Linked DNA regions of Rattus norvegicus. The protein of the gene in region 2 interacts with the protein of the main gene of each other region in a biochemical or structural test. Links are inferred from orthologs where the notes say so. Each region holds a gene or a part of one and is shown on either strand. Other genes may lie near its edges. The genes, in order: Cyba, Noxo1 and Noxa1.

What was found.
Region 1: the proteins of Noxo1 (region 2) and Cyba form a complex in vitro, tested with the Homo sapiens proteins (3 studies listed by IntAct). The link is inferred for Rattus norvegicus from reciprocal best matches to the Homo sapiens genes NOXO1 and CYBA.
Region 3: the proteins of Noxo1 (region 2) and Noxa1 form a complex in vitro, tested with the Homo sapiens proteins (2 studies listed by IntAct). The link is inferred for Rattus norvegicus from reciprocal best matches to the Homo sapiens genes NOXO1 and NOXA1.

What each region holds. Positions count from the first base shown.
Region 1 is NC_086037.1:67,398,400-67,401,328, reverse strand, and holds part of Cyba (cytochrome b-245 light chain), read left to right. Parts: intron 1-2,050; coding exon 2,051-2,120; intron 2,121-2,511; coding exon 2,512-2,586; intron 2,587-2,775; coding exon 2,776-2,859; intron 2,860-2,929. UniProt on the Homo sapiens protein: Subunit of NADPH oxidase complexes that is required for the NADPH oxidase activity that generates, in various cell types, superoxide from molecular oxygen utilizing NADPH as an electron donor.
Region 2 is NC_086028.1:14,226,594-14,231,036, reverse strand, and holds Noxo1 (NADPH oxidase organizer 1), read right to left. Parts: upstream 2,833-4,443; 5' UTR 2,716-2,832; coding exon 2,650-2,715; coding exon of another isoform or gene 2,542-2,649; coding exon 2,461-2,541; intron 2,181-2,460; coding exon 2,105-2,180; intron 2,022-2,104; coding exon 1,844-2,021; intron 1,701-1,843; coding exon 1,519-1,700; intron 1,427-1,518; coding exon 1,313-1,426; intron 1,081-1,312; coding exon 963-1,080; coding exon of another isoform or gene 953-962; intron 872-952; coding exon 637-871; 3' UTR 496-636; downstream 1-495. Other genes in the region: Tbl3 (transducin beta-like protein 3), read left to right, coding at 1-153, 243-352. UniProt on the Homo sapiens protein: Constitutively potentiates the superoxide-generating activity of NOX1 and NOX3 and is required for the biogenesis of otoconia/otolith, which are crystalline structures of the inner ear involved in the perception of gravity.
Region 3 is NC_086021.1:28,301,008-28,305,450, reverse strand, and holds the start of Noxa1 (NADPH oxidase activator 1), read left to right. Parts: upstream 1-1,627; coding exon 1,628-1,804; intron 1,805-3,931; coding exon 3,932-4,014; intron 4,015-4,443.

The DNA.
Region 1 (2,929 bases), on a different chromosome or scaffold from region 2:
AAATTGAAAAATAGGAAAGACATCACCATACTTTTGAAAGATCCTGACTATCCTATCTATCTATCTATCTATCTATCTATCTATCTATCTATCTATCTATCTATCTGCTGTGTATATATATACATGTGTATATATATATATATGTTGTGTATATGTATATATATATACACACACACACATATATTTAGTCTGAGTAAAACTTACTGCAAACTTCTAGAATAGAAAGAAAAAATTTTTTTTAATTTTTGCTTATTGTTTGAAATAGTATTGACCTGGAATCTGTGATTCTTCTAGCTTAGCCTCAGGGGTGTGGAGGTTGCAGACATGACCACACCTAGCTAAGAAAACAATACATTGGAAGAGCAGGCGGTTCTCTTAAACACTGAGCCATCTCTCCAGCTCTTTCGTAACCGACATCTTCAGATGCTCCTTACGCCAGGTGCATCACGGTCTTCCGAAGCCTACAACAGACTCCTAGCTTTTATTTATCCGTTTGTTTTGAGACAGGGTTTCAGGTTGGTCTCAGGTTCACTCTGTAGCAGAAGATGACTTTGAATTCCTGGTCCTCTCACAGCCATCTCCCAAGTACTAGGATTTCAGGGACTCGTGTATCCCAGCCTGTCCTGGCGCGTACTATGTAAGGGAGGCTGGCCTTGAACTCATGTCTTCCTGCCTCCACCTTCCAAGTGTTGAGGTTACCTACCAGTCCACCATGTCCAGTTTATGCAGTCCTGGGGGTTGCATTGAGAGCTTCGTGCACGCTAGGTAAGCACCCCACCAACCTAGCCACTTCTCTAGCCTTCACTGGTTCGTTTGAGCCACAATCACTTGTAGCCCAGGCTGTTCTCAAACTCATGGGGTTAGCCTTGAACTCTGACCATCTTGCCTCTACCTCCCCAGTACTCCGATTATAGTTGTTCACCACGGTGCTAAGATAGTAAGCCTATGGAGGTCAAAGGGCAACTTACGGAGTCGTTCTCTCCTGATGGATCCCGTCGGGATGAACTCGGGTCTTCGGGCTTGGTGGTGGCAAGTGCCTTTCCTCGCTCCCTCATCTTGCCAATTCCACAAAATACCTTCCATGCACTCTTACGATTGGTCAAGGAAAGTGTAAAGGCACAATCACATTACTTTACCCATCGCCCTAGATCAGAAGCCCTCAAAATCCCAAAGACGGGAGAAGCACATCAGTAAATCGTGGTTGATTTCATATACTAGAACACGAGATCGATTTTTAAAAGTTAGTTAAGAAGCAGGGTGTGGTGGTCCCTGCCTGCAACCCAAGCACACGGGGGAGGGAGACCAGGAGTTCCAGACCATCCGGTATCGACAGCAAAACCAGCATGAGCCACTGGTGATTTACAGAGCGCATCACTTCAACGTCATCTGAGCCAAAGACACAGATACAAGAAAGAACTTCCTGAAATGAGGGAAGTTGTGAGTTGTGTGGTCCCATGGGGGAACCAAGCCTAACTCGTGTGTATTCTACTGTAAGGAAGTCTTGGATGGGCTGGCCGAGACATTAGTGGGGGTGAGGGTAGCTCGATACTGCAGGAATGTGCCCCTCCCCCTCCCCTCCCCCCGTCCCCCTCCCCACCGCCCCCAAACAGGGTTTCTCTGTTGTTCTGTCTATCCTAGAAGTTCCTCTGTAGACCAGGCTGGCCTCCAACTCACAGAGACCTGCCTGCCTCTGCCTCCTGAGTGCTGGGACTGAAGGTGTGTGCCACCAGCGCCCAGCTATTACCCACCTCCCACCCCCTACCCCCGACGGGGATGGAACTCAGTATGTACTACGTACAGAAGGACCAGGAAGTAACAGCGTAGCTGAGAAGAGTTGACATTCCAACCCGAGTGTAGCACCAACAGCTAATGGAGTCCCGCTTGCTGTGGCCACCTCCCCGAGTGTCCTCTCTGTCCCTGAACCCCATGCCGTACAGTGCCCTGCTCCAGTAGGCAGAGAGTTGGAGGTGGTCCCAAGTCCAGGGGCAAGGTCAAGCTGGCTCACTCCTGCAGCAGGTGGTGAGTCCTAACCACCACCCTCCATCTTTAGTCCTCATCACAGGGGGCATCGTGGCTACTGCGGGACGCTTCACGCAGTGGTACTTTGGTGCTTACTCTATGTATCCTTCTACTGGGGGCCAGGAGGGTGAGGTGATGAGAGCGCTTCCAGGACTAGTGTGTGAATTTACAAGAGCACTACACATAAGCTGTTCCGCCACAGCCTCCGGAAGCAGGGCCAGCCCTGTCTGCAGTTTTAGAAGCCATGGCCCAGGGCTGGACAGCCACTTCCAAAGGTCACAGAGGGTGGGGTTTGGGCAAACATGGAGCTGAGGCCCAAGATCCCAAGGTTTGGACTGGAGTACATCGCCTCCGCCCCACCTTGCTGGACAGTGCCTGAGAACTGAACGGGGTGGAGGGTAGGTATGGGGCAGGAGCTGTGCCTCGACTTACCTGTAGGCAGTAGTACACCCTGGCCTAGGCCTAGCGTGGCTTTCCTTAACCTCACCTCAGTGTTGCAGGAGTGCTCATCTGTCTGCTGGAGTACCCCCGGGGAAAGAGGAAAAAGGGCTCCACCATGGAGCGGTGGTAAGTCACTCCTACCTGGGGACCTGCCCCCACAGAGCCAACTGACTTGTCCAGAGCTTCCAGCCCAAGGCCTCATGTGCCCAGGAGGAAAAGGACCTAGAACCCTGGAAGGGGGCGGATAAGGAGTGACCAGGGATTCTGAGTGCGGTTGGTGCTGACCCTCTGATCTTTTGTCTTCCCGCTGTCTAGTGGACAGAAGTACCTGACCGCTGTGGTGAAGCTGTTCGGGCCCCTCACCAGAAATTACTACGTCCGGGCTGTCCTCCACTTACTGTGAGTCTCTCTGCCCATCCCCCGGGGAACAGGAGACTAGAAAAACACCTCATGGGTCTGTAACATCGTC
Region 2 (4,443 bases):
TGCTGCGCTTCTGTATCACGTGGAACACGAATTCCAGACATTGCCACGAAGCCCAGGCTGTGCTTGGTGTGCTGCTGCGCCATGAGGCTCCTGAGGAGCTGCTGGCCTATGACGGTGTGCGGGGTGCACTGGAGGCCTTGCTGCCCTACACTGGTACGTGACATGGCCCTGGGTCCAGGGATGCTCCTGGCGGGTTCACATTCAGCCCCCACCCAGCCCGAACCTCCTTTGTCGTCCTCTAGAGCGGCACTTTCAGAGGCTCAGCAGGACCCTGCAAGCAGCCACCTTCTTGGACTTCCTATGGCACAACATGAAGCTCTCCCCACTCCCTGCTGCGCCCCCAGCCCTGTGAAACACATAAAAGCTGCACTTTTCTATCTTGGCTTCTTGTGTGAATCTGATCAATCTCCCAAAATCCTTGGCCAACCGAGGCGTTATCTATAGAAATTCAAGCCCACCCCTGCCCCAGTCCCTCAGTGCACAGTGAGATTTGGGTGAAGTCATTCCAGTTTTATTTAGAGGAAATAGAAAGTTGACTGGCCCATGGCCCTGCCAGTCATAGAGCCACACCCTCGTCCCTGCTTTGCTTGAGGTTGGCTTTGACAGTACAGCCTCTCTGCAGGGCCATACAAATCCTCAAGGGGGAACTTGGGTCCGTTGTTCCTGTCCCACTGCCCTGCGGGTGATGGAGCAGCATCTGCTCTGGATGGCACTCATACAGGGGCGAGTTGGTACTACAGGGGGAACAGTCCTGCCCTCAGTCACCTTGTCTGCCCCACCACTGTCTGGGAGCCCTGGCCTGCCCAGGAGGGAACCCAGCCCTTCAGGTTGCAGCAACACTGCAGGGAGCAGGCCTGTCTGGCCATTATACCTGCAGGAAGAGCAGGGCTTGGTTAAGGATTTACCACCAGGCAGGGCCTGCCACTGCCCCACCACACAGAGACACACACACCTCACTGTACCTGCACAGCCACCAGCCTCGGTCTGAGGTTTCCAGCACATGTACACGTGCTCCTGAGGGCACGGATAGCTCATCAGGGCGACTGCCCTCATAGGCCTGGGTAGCACAGAACTGCCTCCCTAGGATAGGTATTTGGGGATCATGGTAGAACTGCAAGTCCAGGGACCTCGCCTTTTTCTGGGATTGCCTCTAGGCACCCTGAACTGCTCTGAAACCCACTTCAGCTTTCTAAGGCTCAAAGCAGCACCCACGTGCCTAGTGCCCCACTACCACCTCCCTCCTGGGCATGGTCTCTGCCTTGCCAAAAGGTCCATTGATAGCAGTGAGTTTATAGTAGGGATTAGCTCATACCACTTCCTTGAACAGCCATGCCCGACTCCTGGCCTTGGCCTGTTGCTATCTCCTCCAGGTAGGGAGCTGGAAACCAGGCTGTCTGCTGGTCCTTGTTCTCCACCAGCCACCAGCCTGTTTAGGAGGCCAGGAAAGGGCTCAGATGCCTAAGTCTGTGTCCATTTTGATCAGAGAGGAAACCCCCAGGTTCTTAACAGTGGCCTTACCTGAAGGATGCCGTAGTAATATGTCCAGAATTTCTTTAGCCTGAGTGTGGAAAGGTCTGTCTTTTGTGTCAAGAGTGTGGAATGGCTGTAAGCAGCGCATGCTCTGAGCCTCCAGGCTATGAATGGCAAGGCTGCCTATAGGTTGGGATAAGGGCTCCTCTGGGGTGGGCAGGATCACCAGGCTGGGTAGTACAGCCAGCACATGTAAGAAATAAGTAGGAAAGATGGAGATCCCCCTTTCCCCACATATATATAGGTCAGCCCAGCCTTCTCACCTGCCCTTCCCACAAGTGCATGGGCTAGGAGTAGGGCGAAGGTTAATCACCTGCCAGGAGGCAGCATGGGCTCCAGATCCAGAGGTTTGGGTGCAAAGAAGCTATTGAGTGTTGAGCTCGTCACTATGTGCTGTGAGGTTGCCAGCAGTGACCGTACATAGGTTTCCAGCAGCCGCAAACGTAACAGGCCTCGGCCAGTATGTCCCCGACGTGTCAACAATGGAGCATCTGCCCGGGTATCACAAGCACATACTGTGGGACCCCACTCACCCACACTTGCCTTACCATCCCATGACTCCTGCAGGCCTGACCAGGAAGCTTGGGAAGAACTCGTTCAGATCTCTGAAGCAGGCCTGCCTCCACTGGGAAGATTTTCTTAAGGGTCTTCTGATGGGGAAAAGCCTGTGTTAGTCTCTGAAAGTGGAGAGAATCCCCCAGGGAGGGAAGGGTCCCTAGAAGAGCTCCTACAGGCAGAAAGGAGTATGTAGAGGATGTTGGATGGGGGAAGATACCATTGAAATACAGTCCCCCGGGGCTGGGGATTTAGCTCAGTGGTAGAGCGCTTACCTAGGAAGCGCAAGGCCCTGGGTTCGGTCCCCAGCTCCGAAAAAAAGAACCAAAAAAAAAAAAAAAAAAAAATGAAATACAGTCCCCCAGTGTTCCTTACCTGGAGCTGCCTAAACTCCTCCCAGCTCCTGCGAGCAAAGGTGTCACTGTTGTCTGACCAGCACACAGAGAAGGCAAACGTCTGTGTGAGGAATGGTAGAGGCGACATCTCCTTCAACTTTGCCAGCTCCCTTTTGCCTCTTTGGAGACAATCGGGGCAGGGGTGAGGGACTGGGGCAGTATGGTCTACCTGGAGCCGTTCCATCTGCACCAGGGCTACAGCATGGGCTGATACTGGGTGTCTTGGACTTGCCATGATTATGAATGGCCTCCCACCGGGTGCTTGAAGGAGTTCCGAGCATCCGGAAGAAGTGAAGTGGAATTCCCCAACACTGCCCTAAGTGGAGTCCCTGCAAAGCATTCACACTCCAGGAAACAGTTTAGTTTCCTGGTTCTTCAAACACAGAAAAGGAGAGGATTCATCACAGGAAGACTGCCAAGAGGAGGGGCAAACCTGGGCAGGTGGAAGGAAGAAAGGAAGTCCTTTGTACACGGCTGGGCTGTTCTGAAACAACTACCTGGGGCTTCTTTCTTTCCTTAGCCCAGGGAAGAAAAGCTATAGGGAGTTCCATCATCAAAGTGTCTGCCATCTCAACTTCACCTGCTCCTCGGCCTCTTCCCCCCACCCTGCTGTGACCTCCTGCCAGGTAACAGCTTGCTCTTTGAATTCGCCCCAGGCTACAGTACAGTATAGTACAGCACCAACAGACAATTTGAATCAATTACTGGGTCCTTTTTTGGTTGCTTTGTTTTTTGTTTTTTGTTTTTAAACTTCTTTTTTTTTTTCTTTTTTCTTTTTTTCCGGAGTTGGGGACCGAACCCAGGGCTTTGCGCTTGCTAGGCAAGCGCTCTACCACTGAGCAAAACCCCAACCCCTGTTTTGTTTTTTGTTTTGCTGACTTTTGGTTGTTTTTGTTTTGTTTTGTTTTTCTAAGATTTTTTTCAAGGATTTATTTATTATATGTAAGTACAATGTAGCTGTCTTAAGGCATACCAGAAGAAGGCACCAGATCTCATTACAGATGGTTGTGAGCCACCATGTGGTTGCTGGGATTTGAACTCAGGACCTCTAGGAAGAGCTGTCAGTGCTCTTACCCACTAAGCCATCTCTCCAGCCCCCTGTTTGTTTGTTTTTTGAGACAGGGTTTTGCTAAATTGCCAAAGTTAGGATATAACTGCCTTGGGAGTTGGGGATTTAGCTCAGTGGTAGAGTGCTTGCCTAGCAAGCACAAGGCCCTGGGTTCAGTCCTCAGCTCTGGAGAGAAAAAAAAAAAAAAAAGGATATGACTGCCTTAGGCTCCCTAGCACCCAGCACTCAGACCTCTGTCCTAGGTCATGACCTCCTTACTTGGCCAAGTCTTGACATTGCCTTTAACAATTTACATACTGGCTTTTTCAGAAATGTCGGAAACCAGAAGAGCGAAGCTGGCAAAGGAGTGAGTGCCTACCACTAGAGACCTAGAGGAATTGTGAGCCCCTCTCACTACCCAACCCTAGATGCTCTCTAGTCTACATAGCCACTGCTTCCTCTCAGATGCACACGAAGGAGCCCTCAACTCTGGAGCTAGAAAGAGGTTCCTCCCTGTCTTTTTAAGATTCTGCTCTCAGGGGCTGGAGAGATGATGGCTTAGGGGTTAAGAGTACTGACTACTCTTCCAGAGGTCCTGAGTTCAATTCCTAACTGGTCCTGAGTTCAATTCCTAGCAACCACATGGTGGCTCACAACTATCTGTAATGGGATCCAATGCCCTCTTCTGGTGTGTCTGAAACAGTGTACCCATATAAGTAAAATAAATCTTAAAAAAAAATCTGCTCTCAGCAGGGAGTGTTGGCACACACCTTTAATCTCAGCACTCCTTTACTTTCAGCAAGATTCCTGAGTTGGGGGTTGGGGATTTAGCTCAGTGGTAGAGCGCTTGCCAGCCTGGACTACAAAGAGAATCCAGGTCAGCCAGGACTGGTTACACTTAAGAAACCTTGTTTC
Region 3 (4,443 bases), on a different chromosome or scaffold from region 2:
GCAGGGATAGAGTTTAGGCTGGGCTTCCAGGAAGGGGCAGTGAGAAAGCAAGAGGGAGAGGAGCCAAATAAAGGGAGAGTGCCCAGCCTGCATGGAGACAACTCGGGATCTGGGTATTGAGGTAGAATGGCTGCACTAGGACTTAAAGAAGGCAGGTTAGCAACACTCATGCACTCCAGGCAGCAGTTTAAGGAAACTCAGCTCACAGAGAAATGCCAAGGGAGACAGAGCCGCCCCAACCCCACCCCCCAACCCCCGCTCAGGGTGACAAACCAGCAGTTTGCTGACACCGTGAGAGCTCATTCAGCTCTCATAAAAAGCCTGGGTAGGACACGCATGAAGGCATGGAAACTTAGCTGGCCAGAGTCGCACAGGAAAGACAATCAACTGTGACTCTGAGCACAGGAGATCAACAACCCGGCAGGGAAGGGTGATGGGCCGGCGATTCGGCTGAGCCTAGCTGCTTGGATTGGGTGTTGTGGTGCTTAATTTCAACAGCTGGTCTGGTCAAGCCATGGTGCTCCAAGTGTCCGGGAGAAAAGTTCAGAAGAGATTAACGTTTGTATCAGCATCTTTGGGTAAGGCATATGACTCCCATACTGTGGGGGACCCCATCCAAGCAGGATTATGAAAGTGGACATCAACTTCCTGGTGTCGTGCAGAGTCTATATTGGGCCGCCCCACCCATCTATACAAGATGCAATCCTGTCCAAGGGCTAGTTTTTCTCCATCTGGAGAGCAGCGTAGAAGACTAAGTCCCAGTGGCCACACTCCCAAGGGAGAGGGGCAGCCAGGCCAGCGCCCACTAGTGGAGAAAGCCCTCGTGGGCTGCACCACCATGGACTCCAAAGCCTCAACCCCGCTTCCGAGGGCTCTGGCTAGTCACATGGCATCCAGTCCTGCTCAGCTTGTAGCTCCGGAGTCTCCAAGCCCACCCGGTCACTTTCGAAGAGGCGGGGCCGGAGGTCGAGCTCTACCGGCCCTTGAGCTGTTGTTTCTCCATCAGGCTGCCCACCTAGCCTGACAGACGCAGACTTCTGGGGCAGGGAGCTCTGCTGTGCACGGTCCACACTGGTCCCGGAACCTTGGCCCGGCTGCTGCAGCACTTCCGCCCGGTTTTCCCCTAAACACTCTGCTAATTGGCGTAAAAGACGCCGAGGGGCCCAGCCACGGCCCAATTAAGTTCTGAGCTTGCTGGGAAAAAGATGGAGTGGGCTTGGCTTGAGTAAGGTGTGTGGCCAACAGGGAAGGAGGCAAGAACTAGGAGGCGGGACAGGTGGAGAGGGCGTGTCCATATGGAGATGACTGTGGCCTCATTGGCGCTGAGCTGCCTGGGATGAAGGGGCATGGCTAAGTAATCGAAGACCGCTTCTCAGGCTAAGTGGTTCAAGGCGGGGCGTGAGAGAGGGGCCTCGGCCTTGGACCATCTACTCAGTATCAAGGACAGATTGTCACAACTCCAGTTGGCTTGCTACCAGCTGCTTCTCGTTGTTGTCCTGGTCCCCTTGCCCCTGGCCCTGCCCCTGGCCCACGGTCCCCCAGTTTCTGTGGGGCACACTCTTCCTGTCCCGCGCGCTTCAGCTAGAATCGCTAACTTCCTTCGCCGCAAAGCAGGCGTCCTCACTCCATGAGCTCTCTAGGGGATCAGATACGGGACTGGCACCGGGGCGTACTGGCCGTAGCACGCGAAGACTGGGACTCTGCACTGTGCTTCTTTTCAGATGTCCGGGAGCCGCTGGCTAAGATGTACTTCAACATGGGCTGCGTGCACCTGATGGCAGGGGATCCCGAGGCTGCGCTGAGGGTAAGCGCCCCAGGACTGGAAAACAGATCCCGCACCCCAATCCTTAGTGGAGGCCTATAGCGGAATGTAAATGAAGATGTGACTGCAGACGTGACACCTTATCTTCCAATGAGCACCCAGGAAAAACACGCTCTTCTGCACCTCACAGTCCACCTAGAAAGGGGAGGAATCCTTGCCCTTTACCCTGCCGTTCTCCTAGAGGTTGTTTCACTAATGTTCTTTCTGTCTTACTGACTGCCTGAGGCAGGTTGGAGCTTTGTGGTTAGGAGACCCCTCTCTTGGTTGAGACCAGAATGGGACACAGGGTATCTTCAGTCGCCATAGCCACATAAGCTAAATGTGGCAGTTCTGTACCAAGTCTGGCATGCCCAGGCTCAGGTGCTCAGGACTGAGGGAGGGGCATACTCAAAGGCTGGCAGTGGCTGGGTCAGAGCAGGCAGGGGCTCTGCTCTTTCTCGGAAGGTGAGTGTGGGACGGAAAGTGTGTGTTGGGGGTTGGGGGGGGCACAGATTTTAGCAGATGCGTGTGATAAGTCGGTGTCACACAGTCTGTCTTCCCGCCTCTGAGCACTCGCATGCCTCCCACCTGCTTCTCAAAGCAGACCTACTCAGGGGAGCACACTGTAGAGGGGGCAGCACTGCCTTCCCACTTCACGGTCATCAAAGTTCTAGCCATTCCTGGGTGTGTGATAGAAACCCTCAGCACCCTGACCACAGTGCAGACCTACGTGAACACCACACAGGTGAGAAGGAAAGACACCGGAGCACAAGGGTGAGAGTAGGAAGACAGCTGCGTGGCGATAGTCTCTTTATCATTTCTTTCTTAGAGTTTTAATTAATTAATTAATTAATTAAAACACGTGTGTGTGTGTGTGTGTGTGTGTGCGTGTGTGTGTAAATCAGGAGAAAACTTGTCTGTTTTCTCTTTGCCCCGTGTGGGATCTAGTGATCAAACTGAGGTCGTTAGGCATGATGGCAAGTGTCCTTCCACTGAGCCACCTTGCCAACCTCTTCCATATTCATCTGTCCTTACTGTTTCTTCATTAAAAGGGTTTTGTTTGAGCCACGCATGGTGATGCCTGCCTTTAATCCCAGCACTCTGGAGACAGAGGCAGGCAGATCTCTGAGTCTGAAGCAACAGAGTTGAGGCCAGCCTAGGCTACAAAGTGAATTCCAGGGCTACACAGAGAAATTCTGTCTTAAAAGCCAAACGGAACAACAAAAGGTTCTTGTCCAGGAAAGGGGATGTAATGATCGGTTACCAGGTGGTGACGGTGAGTCACACGCTCACCTCCTCACAAGACAGGAGTTTGAAACGCTCTACCACAAGAAGAACGGGCACTGCCTTGAGTCAATAAAACGTCTGTGTGTACAGCGTAGGCACACCGGCTGGACCCGGAAACGTAAGAAGTTGGTGGAATAACTGCAATAAGGAAATCCAAGTGTGCAGGTCTGAGAAGGCTGCACTTGGGCCTGTCGGTGTGAAGCCTGAGGTGCTGGGTGAATCTACTACGAGCAGCCATGGCGTTTCCAGGCTGACTGTGGCATGGAAAAGCTTCAAAGTCAGCCCCAGCTCCCAGCCAGCCCTCTACCTGGCCAGGCATGGCATGAGGAAAGTGCAGCAGTTCCTGTGCACAGAGGCTTCTAGGCTCTGACTCTAGTACACACCTAGTGTGCACTCCGTGTGACCTACCAAGAGAGATCTTAAAACAGTTATTAATGTGTTTTGTGGGTGGGGATTCTCCCATTACAGATGCTTGTGAGATGAGCTCGCTGGGAATTGAACTCAGGACCTCTGGAAGACCAGCCCTCTTTAGCCCCTGCAAAGAGATTTTGGAAAGCCTCAAATTTACACAGTCCTGTCTCTCAGAGATGACTGTTACTGACGTTTTGGGGCGTTTTCTTCAAGCTCTGTGCTCCTGGTGGACAGATTGGGTTTCTCTGCCTTGGTGGTGTGCCCTGAGCCTGTTGTGAGGTGCTTGGGGCAGCTGAGAAATCCATGCAAGAACACAGGCTCCAGGCTCTAACTGTGCAACAGCCCTTATCTGTTGATACGTTTCCCTTTGTGTTTGTGGCTTTGAGTCCCTAGGTTACTGGGTTTGGTGTTCACACACATTTTTGTCCCTAGGCATTTGACCAAGCAGTGACCAAGGACACCTGCATGGCTGTTGGCTTCCTCCAGCGGGGAGTGGCCAATTTCCAGCTGCAGAGGTGAGAACACGGCAGTATCCCCCGTTCCTTAATAAACGGTTCTTTGTCTCTGCAAACCCAGGCTTGCTCCTACTTCCTGCTGTCTGTCCTCTGGATCCCCTCCAGCCTGGGTGAGGATGCTCTGGTTAGCACCCCCCGCCCCATGTTTCCTGTCCCTATAAAGATTTACAGTGTTTTCTCAGCATTCCGGTTCTCTCCTTATGTCTCTAGTAGTAAGATCACTGCATTTAGAGTCAATGTGCCAATGTGAAAACCAGGGCTTATCCCAAGATGTGCCTGGCCACCCAGCTCTCTAAGAGGAGGAACGGAGGAGATAATCAGGGCTGCAGGCTCCAGTGTCCAGGAGTGGTGACTGGGGGAGTGGAATATCTAGTGAGGGACAGGGATTTCAACCACAGTTGGAAGTCCAGAGATAAATGAAGGCCTCAT